Linked DNA regions of Notamacropus eugenii. The protein of the gene in region 2 purifies or fractionates together with the protein of the main gene of each other region. This does not show direct contact. Links are inferred from orthologs where the notes say so. Each region holds a gene or a part of one and is shown on either strand. Other genes may lie near its edges. The genes, in order: LRP6 and ETV6.

The links.
Region 1: the proteins of ETV6 (region 2) and LRP6 purify together in Homo sapiens (affinity purification with mass spectrometry; 3 studies listed by BioGRID and IntAct, counting the BioPlex papers as one, with this or other methods). This does not show direct contact. The link is inferred for Notamacropus eugenii from reciprocal best matches to the Homo sapiens genes ETV6 and LRP6.

The regions. Positions count from the first base shown.
Region 1 is NC_092874.1:198,769,298-198,781,782, forward strand, and holds the start of LRP6 (low-density lipoprotein receptor-related protein 6), read left to right. Parts: upstream 1-6,191; 5' UTR 6,192-6,255; coding exon 6,256-6,310; intron 6,311-12,485. UniProt on the Homo sapiens protein: Component of the Wnt-Fzd-LRP5-LRP6 complex that triggers beta-catenin signaling through inducing aggregation of receptor-ligand complexes into ribosome-sized signalosomes.
Region 2 is NC_092874.1:199,376,313-199,388,407, forward strand, and holds the start of ETV6 (transcription factor ETV6), read right to left. Parts: upstream 6,148-12,095; 5' UTR 5,535-6,147; coding exon of another isoform or gene 5,502-5,534; intron 1-5,501. UniProt on the Homo sapiens protein: Transcriptional repressor; binds to the DNA sequence 5'-CCGGAAGT-3'. Plays a role in hematopoiesis and malignant transformation.

The DNA.
Region 1 (12,485 bases), about 610 kb from region 2:
AAGGGGAGGGGTGATAGAAGGGAGGGTAGATTGGAGAAAAGTGTAGTCAGAAGCAAAACACTTTCAAGGACAGGATGACAGGAGAGAGAGAATAGAATAACTGGGGGGGGGGGAAATAGGATGGAGGAAAATACTGTTAATAGTAATAATTGTGAAAAAATTTTAAAGCAAGTTTCTCTCATAAAAGCCTCATTTCTCAAACATATAGAGAACTGAGTCAAATTCATAAAAATAATAGAAGTCCCCAATTGATAAATAATCGAAAGATGTGTTCAGTTTTCAGATGAAGTAATGAAAACTATTATAGCCATATGAAATAATACTTTAATTCACTATTGATTGGAGAAATGCAAATTAAGACATTTTCATACTTATTAGATTGGCTAACAGGACAGAAACGGTAAGTGATAAATATTGGAGGGGATGTGGGAAAAATGATACATTAATGCATGGTTGGTGGAGTTGTGAACTGATTCAACCATTCTGTAGAGCAATTTGGAACTATGCCCATGGGGCTATAAAAGCATGCATAACCTTTGACTTAGCAATACCACTACTAAGTCTGTGTCCCAAGAAATACACACACACACACACACACACACACACACACACACACGCATGAAAAGGACCTATATATACAAAAATATTTATAGCAGCTCTTTTCTGGGGGCAAAGAATTACAAATTGATGGGATGCCCATCAATTGAGGAATGGCTAAACAAGCTGTGGTATGGGATTATGATGGAATACTTTTGTACTATAAGAAATGATGAGCAGGATACTCTCAGAAAAACCTGGAAAGAAGACTTGCATGGGTTGATGTCAAGTGAAATGTACTGTGTATAAAATAACAACAATATTGTAAGCTGTGAATGACTTAGTTATTTTAAGCAATTCAATGATCCAAGACAACTCTAAAGGACGTATGAGGGGCAGCTAGGTGGTGCAGTGGATAGAGCACCAGTGCAGGAGTCAGGAGGTCAAATCTCACCTCAGACACTTGACACTCACTAGCTGTGTGACCTTGGGCAAGTCACTTAACCCCAACTGCCTCATCCTGGGTCATCTCTAGTCATCCTGATGAATATCTGGCCACTGGATTCAGACGGCTCTGGAGGAGAAGTGAGGCTGGTGACCTACACAACTCTCCTTCACTCAAAATAAAGTCAAGTGCAAGTTGTCATCATTTCTCTGATGGGATGGTCTTCTTTGGCAATGAAGGACAAACACACACACACACACACACACACACACACACACACACACATATAAAGGACTTATGATGAAAAAAATGCTATCCATCCCCAGAGAAAGAACTGATATTGTCTGAATACAGATTGAAGAATACTTTTTAAACTTTATTTTTTTTTTAGGTTTTTTTGGTCTATATTTCCTTTCACAACATAACTATTATGGATATGTTTTGCATATCTACACATGTATAAGCTATAGTGAATTGCTTGCCTTCTCAATGGGAGCAAACAGTGAGGAGAGAGGAAAAAGAGAATGTAGAACTCAAAGTTTAAAAAAAAACGAATGTTAAAAGTTGTTTTTACATGTATCTGGGGAAAATAAAATACCAAATAAAATTTAAAAATAGTATTTAAAAAGGTTTCTACTAATTTCACCAGCATAGATACCAATAGCTGGGTAGAGGTCCATAAAGAGAACAGTCATTCAACAGTGGGAGTTTCTGGCCTGGAGAAGAAAATTCAGCCCCCCACCTGGGCTATGGAATTTCTAACAACTTTCCCTATATTTTCAAGCAGCTGTAGCTTTTTCACCATTTAAACCAGAAGAGAGACAAAATATTCTCTCTTGCCTCTGTTCTGAAACCCTTGTTTTAGTATATTTGCACATTACAATTGATTGAAGGAACAAAGGACAGAAATGAGAGAGAAGCTGGAAATTCAGCTCACAATGATTAATATTTAGCATATAGAAATGGGAGCATGTTTTCATGGCTTTGGCATGGGTTTTTTGAGACATTTTTATATGTATATTTCTACAGCCAATGGTAACAAATAGGAAAAAAGAATTTAATATGACAATTCTTGATTCTGCTGAGGTAGTCTCCAAATTTTAAAGCTTGCTCTACTGGTGCAGCAAATAAGTTAACATTTATTCAGGGCTCTTTTTAGTATTTCAAATACTAGGATGTCTAGCATCTATTAAGTTGAATAGCAGGGAAATACAAAGTACTAGAAAATCATTACACCTGCTTAAAGGGAACTGGGGTTTAGTATTTAGGAACTGAAGAAAGCCAAGCTTCTTTAGTACCCAAAGATCTCTCTGATCAGGCTAGAACATATATTGAGGAAATGAGGGGTGTACAGAAAGCATTTCCCTTGAATTCTCTCACGTTCTAATTTCTGAAGAATAAGCAATCTGAGAGGAGAGGACAGAGAGGTTGTCTTGCTCAAATTCAAAAAGGTAGTAGGAGGTAGAGCTAGGGATTAAACCCAGGTCCTGTGCCTCCAAGTTAGTTGATCTTTCCACTGTATCACATCACTTTTCCGTCCTCCTGAGTCTTCTCTAGGCTAAATACACCCAGTTCCTTCATATAACATAGTCTCAAAGATTTTCATTATGCTGGTTGACTTTGGATACTCTCCACTTATCAATGTCCTTAAACTGTGGTACTCATAACTGAACTTGATATTTCAGATGAGAACAGAGTACAGTAGGCTTATGACCTCCTTATTCTTAGAGGATATGCCCAGGAACACTCTAGTTTTTTTGACTGCCACACTCCTGACTCACAGCCCACTAAAACTCAGATCTTTTTCAGAACAATGACTGTCTAACCATGTTTCCCCCATCTTGTACTTACAAAGGTTCCTTTTTTCCCTATCCATGTAAGACTTTACATTTATTCCAACTGAATTTCATTTGATTAGATTCAGCCACTTCAAGATCATTTCCATCCCTAATACTATCATAAAGTGCCAGCTGTCACTTTATGCTTTTTGTTATCGGCAAATTCATTGAACATGCAATTTATACCTTTATCAAAGTCATTCATAAACATGTAGAACAGAATGGGACCAAGCATAGTTTCAATTGCCTTCAGCCATTGACAAATGGTGTATAAATCCTATCAGGATGACTGAGGAGCTTCTTCAATTTGATACAGCACTAGCAATGGCTCATACTTTATTATGTTATCAGGTAATTTAGGAAAGCTTTCCAGTTTTATTCAGGTCTCCTGATCTATGTTTTTACACCCTAATTCTGTAGGGGGATTTCTTGCTGAATCCAGTCCTCTTGGCCATTGAGGACTCTCAGCACAGTTGAACATAAATTGAACACTAAAGATGAAGTAGTACCTGAGATCCAATAAGAGCTTTCTGATTTTTTTAAGTAGCATTTATTTCTTTTTAATAATTTATTTATTTATTTTTAATTTTCAACATTCACCTCCATAAGATTTGGAGTTTTAAATTTTCTCCCTCTCCCCCTAATCCTCCATCTCCGAAGATGGTGTGCAATCTGATATGGGCTCTACTTATACATTCATATTAAACATATTTTCACTAGTCATGATATAAAGAAGAATTAGAACTAATGGGAGGAACCATGAGAAAGAAGAAACAAAACAAGCGAAGAGCAAATAGTGTGCTTGCATCTGCATTCAGTCTCCTAAGTTCTTTCTCTGGATGTGGGTAGCATTTTCCATATGAGTCTTTTGGAGTTATCTTAGATCCTTGTATTGCTGAGAAGAGCTAAGTCTTATCTAAGTCAGTCATCATACAATGTGGCTGTTACTGTGTACAATGTTCTTCAGGGGTCTGCTCATTTCACTCAGCATCAGTTCATATATGTCTTTCCAGGTTTTTCTGAAGTCTGCCTACTCATCATTTCTTATAGCACAATACTATTCCATTGCATTCATATACCACAGCTTGTTCAGCCATTCCCCAATTGACAGACATCCCCTGAGCTTTGTTTTTTTAAGCCTACAGTGGTATTCAGCATCCTCCATACACTGATCTTTCAAACTATTGAAATTGTCAGGTAAAGCCTGATTCTATGACAAAGTTGAATTTTAACTGAAGTCCATGAACTTCTTTCTCCAATATTTTTTTATAGCTATTTTAATAATATGTTTCCTTTATAATACTATGTTATTTTATTTTATGTATTTAATTATTCTGATGAATCCACAGGCTTCAGCACACTTTCCTTTCCAAGAATGCCTATTTCTATTAGGGTGGAACCAATGGCCATATTTTACAAAATTACAACTTCGAAGACTGCAAATTCCAACAAGAATTTGAATACATATGTCTGAGGAAAGAGAGAAATTCAAGAAGAGACAGCCAGTGAAAACACCTCGTGTCCTGTGTGAGGAACAACCGTGGCTGGGAAGAGTAGGTGGAAGGTGGAGTGGAAAGTAAGGTTTGAAAAGGAGAAGGTCAGATTATGAAGGGCTTTGAATATCAATAAGAAAGATAAAGCAAAGGAGGGTCCATGACACACAAAAAGGTAAAGAACCCCTAACTTAAAGGAACTGGGGTGAAATTTTGCTCCAAAGTTCATTCTCCGTGTGGCCTCGGGGCAAGTCATTTATTATATTAGCACCTTAGTTTTCTCCTCGGTAAATCGAGAACTAGATGGCCTTCCAACTTCGGGTCTCCGATCCCTTCCCATGCCTTAGGAGTTTTCATCTTGGGAACCTTCTCAGGCAGTTTGAAGCTCCTCTCTAAGTGTGAGAAGCTGAACTCTAGGAGTATCTGAGTTTCTGGGAGCACAGGACAAAAAAATCCAGTGGAGTTTCCATTGCCTCGGTTCCCAGACACGACTCGAAAGCACCTTCAATGCGACCAGTTTTTCAGTCCTTTCTTCCTTTTGGAAAACGCTGAATCCAATTCTCAGCTGACCAGCCCCTCTGGAGGAGCTGGGGAAGCTTTCCCCGAGTGTGGTGTTAAAACCCAGATGGGGGGAGGCCGTGAAAGGCGGATTGGAAGTGGTTGTCACTCAATAAAAATTTGTAACGCACCTACTACGTGCCAGGCATGAACTGGGGTAAAAGTCAGTCCCTGCTGTCAAGGAGCGCACCGTCTAACGCCGGGAGTGAGGTGGCGAGCAATTATGTATCCACAAGGAACAGGCTGGATACATTGTACATAATCTCAGAAGGCAGGCATTAGATTGCGTCACCGCCGGGCTCCCTTCCTCCGTCTCGTCCAGACCCCGCGACTCCCGGGATCCGCAAAGTTCACCTGCAAGGAGCTGCAGCGGCACAAAGAAGCGAAGAGCTCAGCCTCCGCCGGGCTCCGAGCCCGGAGAAAGTAGTCCCGACCACGCCAGCGCCAAGGTTGTTCCGAGGGTCGCTTCACAGCCTCTTCTCCAAGAGCGCCGAGCCCGAGAGGGAGCAAGAAAAGAATCCCATCGGAATGCGACAATGGCTTGTCCTTTTCTCCTCCTCCCCACCCCCACCCTCACCTCTCCGGCAGCAGAATTAGAAAAACAACAGTAACCACAAAACAACAAAAACCTCTTCTCTTCTTTGCCCACAAGGTGGGCTTTCTGCCTGGGGAGAGACCCAAAGAAATCTCTAGTGGTCCCAAAGCTCGCCAGCTGATTCCTTCCCGCCCCCTCGTTTGCATAGCTGAATAGGAATGGATGTCGGCCGAGGGGAGGCTCCCAGGGAGCTGGGGGAGAGGGGGAGGAGAGAAGGAGGCTGACTGGGAGCATTGAGAAAGGAGGAGGAGAGAAGGGGAGGGGGCCGGGAGGGGAGAAAGAGAAAGGCAGAGGAGGGGGAGGGCCGGGGAGCGCAGGAGAGAGCGAGCGCGGCCCGGGCCGGGCGCGGGGCTCCTTCTGCCTGTGTATCCTTGCGCCGCCGCCGCCGCCGCCGCCGCCGCCGCGCTGGGAGGAGGCGGAGGCTGAATGAGGAGCTGCGTGGAGCCCGCGGAGGAGCCGCCGCTGCCGCAGGGGGAGCGGGCTGGAGAATGGAACGAGACGCTGGCCGCCGCCGCCGCCGCCGGGGCACCCCCGAGGGAGAAGTAGCGCTGTAGAGCGGACGGCGAAGGCGGCTCCCGGGAGCGGAGCGGAGCGGGAGAGAGAGACGCAGAGAAGGGGCAGCGAGCGAGGGCCGGCGCCCGATTCTTTCTTCTCTTTCGGCCGAGCTCGGGCAGCATGACCGTGCGGGGCGGCCGCGGCGGCCCCGGCTCCTCTCCGCCGCCTCCCCCTCCTCGGGCTGCCTTGAGCCGGTGAGAGGAGAGAGAAAGCGAGGAGGCGGAGGAGGGGAAGATGGGGGCCGTCCTGAGGAGCCTCTTGGCCTGCAGCTTCTGCGTCCTCCTGAGAGGTGAGCTCCCAGTGGAGGGTGAGGAAAGACCGGGCGCGGGGGGAAGGGGGGCACGCCGCGACGCCCGAGTTAAGGAGATTTATCGTTTTTTGTTTGTGTGCCTCTTGTGTGTTGGGGGCTGGAGGGAGGGGGAGGGGCAGGGGAGGCGAGCCAGGGGGGAGAAGAGGCGAGAGGCCGGGCCTGGCTGCGGGAGAAGGAGGAGAGAAAGGGGCCCAGGAGAAGGGGCTGCAGCCTTTGGTTCAGGAGTGACACAATGCAGGCTAGCCCTTTGGGGGCTTTCTCCACCTGGACTCCAGGGGTCGGGGTCCCTCGTTCGGGGGAATCCCTGCCCGGATCTTTCCTGGCCGTGTGTCGCTCGGTGTGTGTGAGCATGTGTACCCGTGTGTTGGGGCAGCGAGGTTGAAGGGGGAATAATCATCCTAGAGGAGAGATTTCTTTGTGTTCGTTTTTTACTTTTGGAAAGTTTGAATACTAGGTGCAAGGGCTTCCTCTTCTTCCCCACCTCACTCCTATTTATTGGGGGAGAGCGTTCTAGAGTCCTCATAATTATTTTGTGCAACCTTTGTTACGATTGATAAATTAACTCCTCTTTGGGGATATAGCAGCCCTGGATGAGGACACACTTGGAAAGTAGTCGTGGTGTTCTGGCCCGGGAAGTTTTCTAATCTTTGGTTAGGAATCCATTGGATAGGTTTCCTATTTTGCCCTTGGCTAGTTCTGAGCATGCAGGTATACTAGTTGGCATCCAGTGGGAAAGTCATCCTTATGGAACAGGAACTTGAGCTAACATTTCATAGGCTCATTTGTGGAGCACCCACTGAGTGCTTGATTTGTTGTTGGATGTCAGGAACTCTCTTAGATTCTTTGCCCTTAAAATAACTAATATTCCACGATTCTTTGGTATTTTGAACTGTTCTCTGAAGTTGACACATGCTTTGTGGTTTTTTATCAGCCCTCCCTAGACGTCCTTTGCAAGATATTCACTATCCTTTTTAAAAATTAACAATGAAATAGTGATATTTCTGATGTCATTTAGCTGATAAGTTTAAGTGCTGATATTATGGTTTAGATCTTCAGTTTTTATTACTATTCTTGTTTGCACATGACCCAATTTTTTTCAGACTTCAAGCCTTCTGCCCCATGCACATTTACAGGGGTAGTATAACAACATAAAATTTAAATGCTAGTAAAATAAGTTCATTCTAAACTTACTGAATTTTCATGGAACATAAAGATAGATAATGTGTTATGAATTTAACTGGGAATTTCTACTTGCAGAAATTTATTTGGAGGGAATAGTGAAAATATGTTGGATAGATAAACATTCTTTGTTTATCTTGTATCGTACTATTATTTAACTTAATAATTATAACTCAGACACATTTGCTTCTTCAAATGTAAGTTGTAGGAGGGCAGGGACCAATTAACAAGATGACCCTAGAAGTTGGTGATGTACTGACTATGAGATGTTTGCTTAGATTGATTTTACTTTTTTGTTCTTGTTGTTTATTGAAACAGAAGAATTTTGGTGCATCCAGAAGTAGTTATCTTTTTTTGACTTAAATCTCTTTTCTGTTTTGACAGAGGTTTATAGTTAATCTGAAGTCCCATTTGTGATTTCATTGGGTTTAGGGAACTTCTGATTTGGAAACTGTCCATCCATGCCTATCTGCAACCTCTGTAATTTACAATTGGTGCCCTAGTGCCTGGGGCAGTAAGTGACTTGCCCATGTTCACCAGCTGTTATGTGTCAATACTTTTATGAAGGCCTTCCTAACTACATGGCCTTCTGTCCCTGTTATATCTTTTTTTGTGTGTTTTCTTTAGGCTTAGTTTCATCAGTGTAGCATAATACTGATTTTGTTTTTTTATACCAAAATTGTATTTTGGTATATCTATATAGTTATTATTTAATTATTTATCCATTCATCCTTATTTTATTTGCTCTCTTGCCCCAAGACTTCTATCTTGATCCTCTGGGCCATAGTCACTTATTCACAATATCTAACCTTAGAATTCAAATTTAAAAATATATATATATATTTATATATATGATCAGTCTCTGTTTACCTGTTTGCATCTAAGGAACTATGATGCTAGTGATCCTGATTCCCAGCCAGGTTTTATTTCTAGCCCTATTTGGGGAGAGGGAACTGGCTGAAAAGTGGAGAGGATTTTTGCTGCCCCATAGCCAAGTTTTGTGACAGGGACTCTTTCTATGTCACACCGTTTTTTGCTGTTTGTATTAATGCTTTCCTTCAGTGGGTGGGAAGAATTAGAGATGAAAGATGTTATTTTTTTTCTTACAGCTTGATTTGCCAAGTGAGGAAACGGTTTCAGAGAGGTTAAATGACCCTTAAAGGTGAATAGCTTGTAACTGGGATCTTAAATACTACATCATGCCACCTCCCAGAGTATTGACTGTAGTGGGAAAATTTCTTTTAGTGCTCTATTGGTGTATGTTTATCCTGTTTCATGAAGATTAAACATACCCTACATGCAGAAACATTTCCGATCAGAGTATTGAATACTCTCTAATTTGGTTAATGTATAGATGGCAACTAACCGAAACAAATTCTTTACTCATCCTGAATGACAGTCTATGCTTAAATAAAAATGATTTATAGGTGGAAGGATAGTGATGGATATGACCAAGTTCATTTTAATAGAAGAAAAAGTTTGATTCATGAATTACAGAAGTGACTCTCTAGAACAGATTTGTTCCTTAAAATCAAATATTAATTTGGCTTGAGAATAAAATTACTGGCCAAGTTTTTCTTTCACATTAGTATCCAGATGAGAGGCTGTAAAACTTTAGGTTTTAGTATTTTGTTTTGTTTTGGAGGAGGGAGGGAGAGAAAAAATTTTTATTCTTGTCTTTTGTTTTTAAATCAGTGTTCATGTAGTTTTCTTCCAGTTCTCTCTTCTTCTCTCTCTCTCCCCTGCCCCACACTTACCCCTCACTGAGTCCCCTTCTAAGAAAAACAGTGAAGCAAAAACTAGGGGGTGGGATGGAGTATATTTCATTTGTTCTTTGAGAACAAGCTTGCATATTAAAATTATTCTAGCATCTTGTTAGCTTGAATATAACTGCAGACTTTTATTGGTCAAATTTTCAAAGTTGGGTTTATTCATAGTTTAGACTAAAGAACTGTGCTTTACTGCTTAATTTTTTTCCCCAGTTAACAAGCATTTATTTTGTTTCCCATTCCCCCTCCCATTAAAACAACAACAGAATGAAAATCTTACTCTTGTGGCAAATATAGTCAAGCAAAACCAGTTCCCAGTACTTTTCATTAGTGTTTGTAACAATTTTTTTTTTTTTGTCGGGATCTGACCCGTTGTATCGCAAGTTGTAGATTGTGGGGTCATGTTTAAATGCAGTAAGAACATCAGTTATTTTCATTACAGTAAGCTTGCTTTGCTTTTAGTGTATAGTATCAGTGTTGAAAGTTAGCTTTAAAAAAAATTTTTGGAATAAACACCCTGAAGGGGAGACCAAGAGAGTAAAAATGAGATTTTTAATTTGGAAACTAACTTTGAAGATCATTATATTAAAACAATGATCAGCAAATAAGTAGATGTGTGTATGAATATAGATAAAATAAGTAAATGTTTGAGTTTGAACAGTGATTTTAATTTATTAAATTTTTTTCAGGGAGTTGTATTATTTACACACAACAAACTTGTATATGTAGAAAAGTGTTGAACTGACAGAATTACTCTTGCCTAATGGTTGGGCACACACATGCACACACACATGCACACACACATACACACACACAGTGTTAGTATCTTGTATTTGTCACTGTGATTTCATTAGCATAGGGAACTTTCCAATGAGGAAACTTTCTTTACTTTATGTCTGTAATTATTCAGTAATTTACAGTCTTAGTGACTTGACTAGGACATTGAGAGATTAAGCTTGTATACATCAGAGTTGGGACTGGACCCCTGACTGAAATCCTGGAACACTATCTGCTTGTCTTACCTTAGCTCTTATGTCCTTATATCTATATATATGTATGTCACCATTTTTTATCCTGTGATATTTAGTGTAAATGATTTTGAAAAGCTGTCAAATCAGTGAAAGAGGAGAATAAGGTATTTTCCTCCTTGCAAAATTAATGCACCTTTAGAATCACTTTATAGATTGTTTCTGAAATGTTTAAAAAGTGAAAAACTTACTTTAATCTATCATTCTTTTGCTTTTTGCTCAGCTTATTATTTTGGAGGGGGGGACCCTGTCAATCATCCCCCATTCCACCCATACTTTTTCTTTCCTCAGTACCTTAAGTATTTTCATACCAATAAATGGCATAAGGAATCAGGAATAAGAATGAAAAATAGTAGCATCTTCATGTGTTGTTTTTGGTGAAAAGCAATGGTACTGGTTAATATGATTCTACTAGCTCAAATGAAGTATACTCTTTTTTTTTTTTAGATGAATATATTGCTTAGAAGGGTCATGAATGGTCATAGGATCATATATCTGTCAGTGACTGGAAAGGACATTTCTTTTTATAGATGAGGGGAAATGATTTGCCCAAGGTCTTGCAGCTGGGATTTGAACTGGGATGTGATCACAAGTTTAGTACTATTTGGAACTAATTTTGAGAAAAGAATTGGTTTGAGAGGAGAAGAAATGTGAAGTCACATGACATGTTAACAGGAAATATGCAGCTTGATTTTTTTGTATTCTAGTAATGGTACAGATGACTGAATATATGAATAAGTTATGAATTTATAAATATTATTGAACATTTTCTTAATATCACAAATTAAGTTTAGAAAACAGACTTATTTCAATGGATCTATCACCTAATTGATATAGGTATTCTTTATAACTATGGTAAAGCTTGCAACCTATTCATATATTCTCTTGTGCTATTCTTATCTATGAATTCCTATGAATCCTCTGCAAATCCACCTAATGTTCTAGGGATTTTATGCTGGACTGTTGATATTGGGTGGATACATGACCATCTTCTTCTCTGGGCATGTATCTTTTTGGTGATACCTTTTTATTGCTGTTCCTTTGCAGTTTTTCCTCAGTGACACTTTGTTACTTACTCATATTCACCTTCCATTGCCTTTTGGGTTGCTGCCACTTTGATTATTGGAAGACTGTAGTATTCTGTGAACAGCAGAATGTTGATGTTAAAAAGATGAGCCTTTGTTTCAGGGAAAACCTCAAGTTTAAAAGCACTGTACAGTTTCCAAAATGCTATTACAGACTATTCTTTTCTTCCTGTTTAATTCTGGGTCCAGTTCATTATCCATCTACAGTGCCTAGTCAAGACATACATATATATACTTGTAGAGTTACTGTGGGCTCTCTGACTATCTGGACAATAGGCATTTTTCATCCACTTGGTATTTTCTGTGCAGACAGGCAAAACTCCCATGATTATAGGTGTCATTTAGAAGGTGTTGCCATCTTCTAGGGCTTGAGGTATTGTAATTTACCAACAAGAATTATTTGGAAAATCTTACATTTAAAGAGAATACTTTTTAAGTTTGGATTTTGTACCGGACATTCTTCAGAACCATGACAAACACTTTTAGTAAGTAGGTCCCTCTGTTTTATTCTTAGTTGATATTAATAATAGAAGATTGAGAAAAAATTAATTTTGTTACTATTTAAGTAATCTTAAATCAGTTTAACACATGCATGGGAGGAGAGCCTTCAATGTGGCATATTGCTTTGCTGAATCAAATGCTTTTTTATAGTCAACAAATAACACAGTGAAATGTTGTATTCTTTGCACCTTTTAATCACTTGTGATTGTAAAATTGTGGTTTGCTATAGAATATCATTTCTAAAAGCCTGATTGTTCTATTCTTGTACCTTTTGTCAGTCAGTTGATAAGCATTTGTTAAGCACCTACTATGTACCAGACACTGTGCTAATTGCTGGATCAAAGATTCTTTTGCTGCATGTACATATTATTCTCATAAATTTAGTTTTTTTGTCTTTGGCATCTAGTTTAGTACCTGGCACATAGAATGTGCTTAATAAATGTTCCACTGATTGATAGGAAAATAGGCATATAGGCCAGTATTTATATTTTTAGCCTTTATTGGTAATAAAATCTGATTTTTTTCTCAGCATCTTTATCTTCCCTCTTTTCAAGATTTTTTTATATTTTTATTTTTTTAATTTAACACCTAT
Region 2 (12,095 bases):
ATTTCCCCAAAAGATAAATGGCCAGTGGATATAAGTAGGCAGCTCTCCAAAAAAAAGAAAGAAAAAAGATGTCAACAAGTACATGAAAAATTATCTCCAAATCACTAATGATAAGAGAAATGTTAAAAATAACACTAAGATTCAATTTCACACCCTTTAGATTTGAAAAGTGATAAAAAAGGGAAAATGATAATTGCTGGAAGGCTTTGGGTAAGATGCATTGATGCAGAGCTGTGAACTGGTACAGACATACTGCCAAGGTGTACCTTTTGACCCAGCATTACCACAAGGCACACTCTCCAAAGAGATAAGAGAGAGGGAAAGAAGCTATATGTACAATATTAATAGCCATCCCTTTTGATTTATCAAAGAACTAAGAGGATGCCCATCAATTGGGGAGTGGACAAATGATGATATATGAATGTAAAGAATAACTACTTTCACTATTTATTTAACACAGTATTGAGAATTCTAGTAATTTCAACATAACAATTAACAGTTAACATAGTAATGAGAATTCTAGTAATTTTATCACAACAATTAAAAAAATCACTATTAAACTCCAGTCTCTGGATTCCAAATCCAGTCAGTTAACTAACATGTATTAAGCACCTATTATGTGCCAGCACTCTGCTAAAAAACTCTCCACACAACCAATATGCAATTAAAACTCACATTTGCATTGCTGTTTAAGGTTTACAAAGCACTTTCCTCCCAACAACCCAATGACTAGGAACTGCAAATATTACTACCATTTTATAGAAGGAGAAACTGAGGTTTAAAGACAAGGGATGGTTTGCCCAAGGTCACATGACTAGTAATTGTTTTAGCTGGGCTTCAAACCCAGGTATCTTCTGACTCCAAAATAAAATAGTCTGGGAAAATGGCAAAGCTGCCCATAATCCAATGTGTATCCAGCTCGTTCTGGTTCTAGTAGTGGCAGAAGCATACTATTATAAATTTATGTCTAAGGCACAACATATCGTCAAGGGGGTGGAAAACGTATACTTGGGTTCTAATCCCAAGAAATATCTTTTGGTGACCTCAAAATTTAGCACAGTACCTGGCACACAACAGGCACTTAATAAATGCTTATTGACTGACACCGTTCAATCAATGTTTTGTATGTCTTGTATATGTCTAGTTATCGGTGAGTGTGTGTGCATGTGTGCATGTGTGTATACGCATCTGTCCTCCTTTAGAATGAGAGCTCCTTGAGCCCAGAGACAATCCTTGTTTTTTTCTTTCCTTACAACTCAGTAGTAAGCTTAGAGCAAGTGCTCAACAAACACTTGTTGACCAAACAGATGGCCAGCAAACTGCTTAATTTAATTGTTTCTAGGCCTCCATATCCCCAACTTTAAAATGGCTTGGATGGACAAGGTGACCTCTAAGGTATCCAGCAAGTTTGAACATTCTAAGACTCTTCCTCACCAAGAAACCAGGAAAAATTAAAGCAGCCTGACAGCTCGTTATTTCTCAAATTTCTCTGTTGGCTTTTTATTTATCCTCACCCAATTTCCTCCCTTAATAATCAAAAGAAAGCAGATTTTAAATCCCAGTGCCACAAAGCAGAATCATAGCATGGTCCATCTTTGGAGATCATCGTTGAGAAAATTCCTGAGTCAATGAGGGTGGTGTGTTACACCTAGAGGTAGAGAGCGCACACAGAAAGCATTAGTGACTTAACTAGACAACAGTCCCATTACTTAAATGGTCTCCTGGGTGCTGGAAAGACAGACAAAAGACAGTGACAGACAGCAAGAGAAACAGTGAAAAGAAAACTCTAAAGATTGGAAGGGGCCCAGTTATAAGGAATTTTAATGCCAAAAGAACAGAAGACTTTGTATTTGATCCTAGAGGTAATGGGGAGCCACTGGAATTCATTGAGTTGACATGGTCAAGAAAAATCATCTTGGCAGCTGAATGGAGCAGGGAGTCCAGGTAAAAAATAACTACTTTTTGGCCATATCTACAGAGAATGAGACCTGAAACTAGTGATGGCTATATAAGTGAAGAGAAAGGAACATATAAAGAGATGTTGGGAGGGTAGAAATGATAAGATAGGGCAATGGATCAGATATAGCATTTTTAAATTTGCAAAGTATATATTATTTTATCTGAGTCTTCCAACAATCCTGAGATTAAGCACAACAGCTATTATTAATTATCCCTATTTTACAGATGATTAACCTGAGAGGCAAAGAAGATAATCATGGTCACACATAGGTGTCAAAGAGAATCTGAATCTGGGTCTTCCTGACGTTCCACAGCACTCCGTCTCCTCTTAAGATCCCATGCTTGCAACTGTTAAAAGAGTTAGATCGGTGCCATAGAACAAACCTCTAAGTTTCCCTCAAGCACTAAATCTATGTTCCTATGGCCTACTGAGGCTAGGAGGCAATCTGACTTGGAGATAAGGATTCCAATTCTATCTCAGTTAACTTTCCCCCCCAACCTTGGACAAGTCAATTAAGCTAATAGTACTATTACACACTATTTTACAGTAGGGCAGAAAGGGATCTTTACTTGCTAAATGAGAAAATGCTGGTAAAGTACTCAGCATCAAAGCCAGTTAAGAGATGTGCATTAGCAACCACCACCTAGATAAGAGATGACTCCAAAAGTGTTGCTGACTGGCAGATTCAGAAACACTCATGTGGAGGGAGGCCTCCACCTCAAATTCTACTATACTTTCCTTCCAGTCACAAAAAAAAAAAAAAAGTTTCTCAGTAGCAAACAAAGCACCTTCCTAAACTGGAGGGCTCGGTTCAGCCCCTGTCTTTCCAGGTTTTCCCACACCAGTTGCTGAGGGATTAACTGTGCCAACTGATTTACCCCTTGTGGAAGAGAATAAAAGAAAGTAAGGATCACTGTTGGGAGGGAGGGAAGGAACATGAAAGATACTCTCCCACACGCAACAGAAGACTCCTCTACACAACACACAGGCTCTGATCCATCAGACAGTCCTTCAAACATGTTTGCCATTCATTCCCCACTCCGAAGAAAAGTTTGTTGTTTACTGGAATCTGGAAGCCATGCAAAGATTTTGTTTGTTGCCAGCAAAAATACTTTATTATGCAGTAACTGTATCACATCCCAAGAAATGAAACATTCCCAAACCCTTTCCAAATAGTCTGATATAATTTCAGTTCTTGACCCTACAACTTTTTAAAATTCTTGATCAAACCAATGTGCAAATGTGAGAACTTTTCTTGAACATCTAAAAGTACATACCATCTAAGCAAATTATATATACATAGATATATATGTATATATGTACACACACCCACCAATAAATTTTTTAAAGATATCCTAGATTACAAGTCCACCTATTCCTCTATCATAAAGAGTGACAACACCTGATTAAATGCCAGAGGAAGCAATAATAAGAATAAAATTGATATTGAAACTATGAACGTGATTTCTAAGATGCACTTGAAATAATGTTTGGCTTTGGGTTTGGGCTTTGAGTTTTTAAATTTTTTCTTTCTTAATTGCAGAATTTCTTTTCTATTCTGGTACAAAGAATAGTAGTCCTTCTGGCTCAGGCACAACCACCATCTGAGCTCTTGTTTACAGTGGATATATGCAGTCTCTATGAGAGAAATCAAGAAAAGTATTTTCCCCCTAAAAATACTGCCCTGTTAGTAGTACAGATTTTCCTCATGTTAGATTTATTGCTATAGGGCTAAATATAATTTGCTGATTTAAAACCCTATTATTTAGCTACCTCAGTTTGTGTTATGAAGCATGAAATAAATTAGATTATCCATACCACAATATTTCACAAAACACAGTGGAGAATTGAATCTGCACAGTAAAAGAAATGTGCTCTTAAAAGTGTGAGAAGACTTAAAAGTTCTTTAACTGAGGTGCTCCAAATCTACAACTACAACCACACATGAATGAATGAATATCTAAGACCAAAAAGTTTCACTAGTTATTTTTGTTAAGGCAAAAAACCCCAGACCTGCTCCCACCAAAACAAATAACAACAAAAACAAATTTAAAAATCACGATCCAAGTACCTCTCTGTCCTTAGCCCAATCTAAAAACTCATGAAAATTTAACTTCCTCCTGAGAGGGAGTCTGTGTGTGTGTATATATGTATGTGTGTGCGGTGTGTGTATATATGTGTGTGTGTGTGTGTGTATATATATATATATATATATATATATATATACACACACCGCACACACATACATAGCATAAGAAAGAATACTGACTTTCTCAACAGGTAACTCCTAAATAAAACTCAGCACCTCAATACGGAAGGAGGGTTTCAGAAGCTTTTCCTGAAGACTGTGGAAACTGATTTTTATATTTCTTTCTTTTGTACCCACTTAAAACGAGGTGTTGCTATCACATTAAAACAGGCCAAGCTACCAGCAAACTTCCTTATAAGAAAGCGAAGGAACTGCACAGGAAGGAGTCTGCTCTTCCATGCTCTCCTTAAAGTGAGCCAATCAAATAAATAGACGGATGGAAAAAAGTGAGTGGGGAAATGTACAGCCCTTCTTGTGTTCCCACATGATCAACTTTTCAGAAGCAGCCCAGAACAGTACCACCAACCTTAATTACACCACTACTCAGAGTGAGTGCTGTGTTTGCAAACACACTCGGCAGCTGCATTTACAACTCCGATGGGGAAGTGGGGGGTAAGGAATGGACAGAAAACAAGGAAAATTCTACAGTTTAAGATTTCCTCGGTGTCCTGTCAAATACAGAAGGTCATTTTAGCTATGGCAGCTTCCATAGCTCTATTTTCCTTATGCACCACAGGAGTTATCTACTTGGGTCCTACTCAACTTTCCTATGCACTGATCACAAACTACTTCATTCACCTTAAAAAAAAAAAGTCAAAAACATTCATTGTGCAATGCTAAGAAAAGCTGCCACTAGGATTCTTTCTCCAGTGCCTTCAAAATTGCAGCTTTTAATTACAATCAGAGGGAAGAGAACGTTCAATCCTTGGAAAAGAAAGGATTCAACCAGCATTACAGGGTAAAGAAGTTTAGGTTTTTTAAAGAAAGAGAGAGAAAATCACCCTTCTCAGAATAAAAGTTAATTTCCCCCCGTCCACATGTTAGGGTTACACATACAGAGGCAGGGTTTTTAAAAGCAGCACTTATCACTTGAGGGTGTTTTACAGTCCAAAAAACAAGCCTGGCTTTTTTTTTCTTGACCAATTGTGACAAAGCTTTTCATTGTCAAAAAGAAAGGGGGAGGGGGGAAAGAAAAAACAAGGGGGGAAAGGGAGAAGGGGGGAGACAAACAGCAAGGTTAAATTAAAGGGTATAGGCGGCAAGCTGCATCTCCTTCCCTTCAGCCCCAGAGATTGATCGCGAATGGAACTGCAAACGAACCCACTTTTAAGAAACCAGCAAACATTGATTTCCCCCTCACCCCCCACCCCCGGGGGTCGAGCCAAAAGGTTTTTTTAAAACAGGGAGGAAGAGGAGGAGGAGGAGGAGGAGGAGGGGGAAAAAGATCTTTACCTTAATGGTACACTGAACTGGAGTCTCAGACATGTCTCACAGCAAGAGAGATCAGGAAGTTCTCAGTTTTTTTCCACTTTCCTTTCCTCTTCCCCAACCCAGAAATCCTCCAAACAGCCAGCCAGATGCGATCATTTAAGAAGTTTCTTCAACCATCTTCACCAACACCACCTTCCCCCCCAAAAAAACAAACCCCGGGAATCTTGCGGCTTCTGCCCTCCAGCAGAAGAGGCAGCCTGGCAGTTCTTTTCCGGGGGGCTGGGAAAAAGAGGTCGGGGTGAGGGGGGGAAGAAGGGGAAGAGAGGAGGGCTGGGGTCAGGGGACCTCGGAGGGAGGTGTATTTGGGTCGGCTGGGAGCTAGTCTGGTGGATGAGACTGTTTATCTGGGTCTCTCTCGGGCTTGTCCGTCCGTCCCCCCCCCCTCCTTCTCCTCCTCCTCCTCCTCTTCCTTCTGCCTCCTTCCTTCTCTCCCTCCCCCTCCTTCTCCTCTCTTCTCTCTCAATGTTTTCCTTCCTGGAAGAGAGAAACTGAAAGGCGAACTGAGAAACCTCTATGCTCATTGATCTTGAGAGTTTCGGTGCTGAAACTGACGTGAATTCCCAGCAAAGAGCTCAGCCTCTTAAAGGAGCCACCAGGAAATAAAAGCTCAGGTTACAGCCAGGCATCAGGGAAATAAACGCAGGACGGGAGGCAGGCGGGGGGCGGAGGGGGTGGGGTGGGGAGGGGGGAGGAGGGGCTGCAGATAAAACAGGTGAAAGTGTAGAAACTAAGAGGAAGGAGAGCGCCCAACTTCGAAAGGCCGATGCATCCCTGGGGGGAGGGGAAGAGGAGGAAATAAGGAAACCAGCAAAAGGAAATAAAAAATAGTACGGGCTTAGCAACCCTTTATGCCCTCAGATTTTTTTTTAGTCTTGTGCCAACGACTGTATCCCATAAGTAAAAATAAAGGGCATTTTAGAATGTTAAATTGATTTTTTTTTTTGCATTCGGAAGCTACAGGATTTATTAAAACCCCTGGTCCCTTGGAAGCAACGTTTAAAATGCAGGAGTGGTTGGGTTTTTCTTCCCCCTATACGCCAAGGCCATGGTAAAAAAAATAAAAAACCCGGGATAGTCTTTTAAGGATGAGAAGTCTAAACGAGGAAATAAAACAATAGCCTTTGTTCTCCTAGACCGCTGCCTCTTTAAGAGAATCTACCAGGAAATGGGAGATCAGGTTGCAAACTGAACACAGGGAAATCTGGAGAGAGCCCGGGAGGGACAGTGGAGACAAAAGCACTGGAGGCTGAGCCAGAATGATGGATTAGGAAGATAAAGTCGGCTAGAAGATAAAACCAGGAAGATTTTTTTTTTCTAGGAAAATAGACCTACTGGAAAGGAAAGACGTAGGCTGATTTGAATTCAGAGTACTGGGGGAGGGGACCCCTCTAACGAAAACTGCATTCAAGAGAAGGAAAGAGTAGCCAGTTATCAAAGGCAGTTTAGTTCCCCTTCCTTTTCCTCAACCTCCTCCCCTTTTGAAATAAATTGCGTTCAGTGAGTGCTGTCCTTTTAAAGAAACAGCTACTTCCTAACGACTGAAATGTGCTGCAGGACTACAAAGTTGGCAGGATGTGTTCATGTAGATAAGACAGGAGGAAAAAGGAAGCACCATTCTAGAGGAACTGATCCTAAAAAAAATAAAAACCCTTTATCCTTAGGACTTTCTTGAGGATCTTAAGGTAGAAGATGATCTCAGGCAGATTGGGGGGAGGGGAGAGGGAGAAAGGAATCCTGTGAATTATTAAGAGTATGAACTTTACAATTACCTTGTTAAGCACCTTCCAGTTGCAAAACCTGCTCCCATACATTATATTGTCTGAGCACTTCAAATGGGAAGCTGCCATTCCTCTGAGCCAATATGCTCATGTACCCAACTCACCTTTTTTTTAAGTATTAACAGTGGAGGCACCAAGATAAATCTTTAGAGGCCTGCTGAAGATGTCATTTTTCCAAGGAATTAGTGAGCAGGCCAGGAAGATCACTAGACTAGTAGGTGAGGAAAAGACCATTCACAGATCATACCTGTATTTCAACAGGCTTTTAGGATCATAAAGCTGACAAGTATGAACATCATGAAGAAACCAAGGTCTTATAGAAGTAATGGTAATAACTAGTGGAGTTATATGAACGTAGGTCTTTTGGCTTGAAACTTAGTACTTTTATACTATACTTATCTCTGTTTTCCCCAGTTTTCTGATCTTGAAAGAGAAAAATAATAATAGTAGCCACCTCGCAGGACTGTGTTGAGGATCAAAATGATATGATTGTAAAGTGCTTAACGCCGTGACTGGCATATGCCAAGGACTGTATTATTGTTACTTCTTTAATTGAATATCATTGCTAAATACCTGATAACTCTAAAATGGATTTAAAATGCTAAAGGTTATTAGGTTAATAATTTTTATAAGGGATAATTTGGAAATTCAATTGACTGAATTGATGTCATCTGAAGTTTTGTTTCATGTTTTAAATACATGCTATTGTTTGTTATAGCATTTCTAAATTCTCTTATATTGTGAAATTTGAAAAACCATTGTAACAGATATGCTATTAGATGAAATAACTTTTTAATCTAGATGTTATTAGATTATAAATTGGTCTTTTAAAAGGATGATAAAAAAGAAATATTTGAAAACTGTTAAATATTTAATGGAGTATATTTTGTCATAAAACACATAATAATGTTTACTATAATAGCAAATTTTCATTTGAAAATTTTTGGCTGTTATGAAAGTATATAGGGTGATTCAGAGATGTAGCTTCCACATATTAATGATGAGTTAACTCTTAGGTATTTGCTGTATGTCTGAAACCCCAGAATATGGGTAGTTTTAGTTTGTAAAGAATAAATGAAATGTTAAGTGTTAGGGAAATATCAGAAAAGTTATTCAAGCCCTAGGTTGTATCTATGAAAGTTTACTATTTAAGAAAATTCTTGGGACTGTAATTTACTATTGTTTTGAACTTCGATTACAGGGATAGTTGTCTGAATTGTCAGCCTAGTAACTGCTAAAGTTACTGGATGTCTGTGCCCAGGAAAAAGTTTGGGGAACAACCTTGGCCTGGTCTTAGATAGGATCCTCCTGACTCTGTTTCCCCATTGTGTTATATTCCTTCTGAAAAAAGAAGTTTTCCCACCTGGCTAATTCTGAGTCTTGCTTTTAACACCCTGTGATTTCATGATTAGATGTCAGATATGACTCATGCCTGGAATCAAACAGAATTAAGGAAGTTTTCCCCTTCTGTTATGATATATGACAATGTTATAAATATGTCCCTCTTTTTCCTTTTATAGCAAATTTCTATAATCAAGCATTTTTGTAAATACAATACTAAATCTATTAAATGATAGGAACATCTCTGAGTTACTATCTATCTAACTGCATCTTGCAATTTTTAAACCTGTATTTATGACCAAAATATAATGTAGGGATGCTATCCTCCTAAAGGGGTAATGATTAGACAAAGTAACAAGACAAAGATGTAACAGTTTTTCTAAATAAATGGAATGGTAAATTTTGAAAAAAGCAACAGAATTAGAATTATTTTCCCAATTCTAAAGCATCTGTCTAATAATTAAAAAGGCAGAAGAATTCATCTTACAGTTTGACCTTCATAAATTTTTAAAAAGTATTCTTATATCAGGTACAGGATTTAAGTAAGGATAGAAACAGCAAATGGTATATAAACTGAGATTCTCTGAAGTTTCAAAATTGGAGAACCAAATTTAAGTGATTGTACCAAACTATATTAAGTCACAATTATCTAGGAACCTCTAGATCATGAACCAGAAAATCAGAGACCCTTTTATAGATGTCCTGAGAATAAAACCTATTGTACAAGAAAAGACGTTTCAGGACCAGATAACTACATAAGACATCTGAAACTCAAAATGTGCTGGTTAAATGGATATTGAGAATGGATCACCGGGATACAAGCAGACCTGATATTGGTTCATATTGGTGTTAATTCGTGCATTGCTTTGGTCTTTTGTTTCATGATATTTATGTCTAAGTTTTCTTGGTGACGTATAAATTTCTCCTTCTCAAAACTAGTCCATTGTGAGCTCTCTAAGTAGTTTAATCTGTAATGTGACATTAATGTAACATGACAATGTAATTATGAGTATGAATTTATAAAAAACCTTATAGCATTGTTTGAATCAAGCCTTGTTTGGCTAGGAAACTGGACCATCTCTATACGCTGTTTAAAAACTTAACTAAGGACCTACGTTATGCTGACCAGAAACTCAGATTCAAAGATTGATGCAAAGAGTTTTCTCACAATTATACATCTAAAGTATCTTATCTGAAAACTGACCCCATACTGATCAATCAGTAACTGTTTCTAAGAGCCCCCACCAAGTTCTTTTGACTACCCCTACAGTTTCCAGTTTTGTGGGTGTGGACTCCTGGATCATTTGAAGAAAGTCCTTGCTCCTTAGTGGATAGCAGAAGCCTCTGGGGACCTCAAGGTTTATCTAGTAAGGACCCAGAAGTAGCCAACATCCAGAGGAGACAATTGTTCCAAGATTCCCAGACAAAGGCTAAGTATATTATCCTAGTTTTTTCTCTTTTCCCTTTTGTTATGTGTCCAACCATCAAGGCCCTGATTCAAGAGTATGTTGGCATTTTCTCCCTCTACAGTCTTGGTTCTCCTTCCTGGGACTCACTTTGCCGATAAGCCCCCGTCAAGGAACTGACCTCCTGGGATGAAAATACCTTTCCATCATTGCAAAGGGGAAGGGCTAAATAAATTGTTAGATTTGCCACCTTAACCCCATAGCTCACCAACCTAAGACTACATCTGTCCCTGAACTGGGACATCTCATCCTGTCTCATCCTGGCCAAACTGGTCTCAAATGGCATCTTGGTTTATACCTGCCTCTCCTTTCTTGGCCAGAATAGAATGGGTTCTTTCAGACCCCCTCCCTTTGGCCAAGAAGAGGAAATGTTGGGATCCCCATGCTAAGACCACCCCTCTCTTTTTGCTTTTCTCTTTTTACTGTTGGGAGACACCTTGTTTTCCAGAGCTAAGACCCATCAAGCAAACTGTGCCCTGAGCTTAGCAGCTCACCCTCTGGATGAACTCAGCCACTGCACAATCCCAGAATCGTTTCACACCAGCAGCAGGTACCTGTGTTCTGGTTACGAAGTCCTGCTATGAATAAAACTTGTTTCATTGCTGCTGTTACTCCTCCATTGTCAGGGCTACAGCTCACTGCATAGCCACTCGTGTAAGAATTGAGCTATGTTCACACAAAAGCAATTCTCCAACTGGGGAGGTGGAGGGTGAGGGGATCATGGCATATATGTGTCTCGTTCCCTCCTCTAACAGAATAAAGAAAGCTTTTTGCTTATAACCACTGTTAGCTCTTTGATTTTATTTTGTTTTATTTTATTTTTAGAGTTAACTGTGGTTTTCATAACCTGTGTGAGTTCTCTGATTGTTTTTTAAATAGCAGTTGCAGAGCTGCTATGGCTCTTTGGTCATCTGGTCTGCACTGATATATCTTCATAGCCAAGATGGAAGCATACGGGATAGATATGGGATGGTAGACAAGAGTTAGGTGAATTCAAAACTGATTGGGCAACTAAACCTAAAGAGTATTGACAAATTCATTTTTGTTGTTTGTCCTTCATTCTCCAGGAGGACCAATGATATCAGGAGGTGATGTCTTGACTTACAAGTGAATTGCATCTAACTGAGACGGGGCTGTGCAAAGTCATAAGCCTCGCTCTGTCCTCCAGGGCCATCTGAGTCCAGTGGCAAGACACAGGTCAGGACAACTGGCAATGGCCCCTGACAGACTCATTAAGGTCAACCTGAAGAGAAGTCATTATATATTTACAAAGCTCTCCGTATTCCTAGCCTATTCAATATTGTCATCAATGGTTTTTAGGAAGACATTTTACGGAAAACTGAAAGAGATAGCTAATATATCAGTTGACAGAATCAGGATATGATTAGGCTGGAATTATGGGTTAAAACTAGCAAAATGAAATTTAATAAGTATTACAATAATTAGTTCATTTTACGTCTTGGGGCAGAATAATGGCCCCTACTATCCATGTAGTTCCCTCTTTTGCAGCTTTAGGGAGTGTATTTAAAGACTAATAGTTGTGAATTCCATCACAATTACTCCAAACTCCTGGTCAGGAAAATTCCTAACACATAGGCAAAGGTTCAAAGTCTTAATTTACATTAACGTCTATTTGACCTTTTTGTGGTTAAGGAAAAATTCAGATTACTGGAAACATTTAGAAAACTGCAGTTTATATTATAGTGTCTCTGGATAGATGGTCACCAGAAAAGAAAGTGAGGGGGAGAGGGAGAGCAGATCTTTTTCCGGAATTTCTCTTGGAAGTGGATACACTGTTGTCATCAGTCAAGCTGCCATTCTGACATGTCAGTAAGGTTGAAGACCCTCTTCCACGTCTACTTTCTCTGCCACAAATCAGTCCTAATTGTTCATTCTCCTTTCATTAGTTGCCCTGAAGATTCTTTCAATTTCAGCCCCTGTAGGAGCTCTCTGTTTCATCTGCTCTTCCA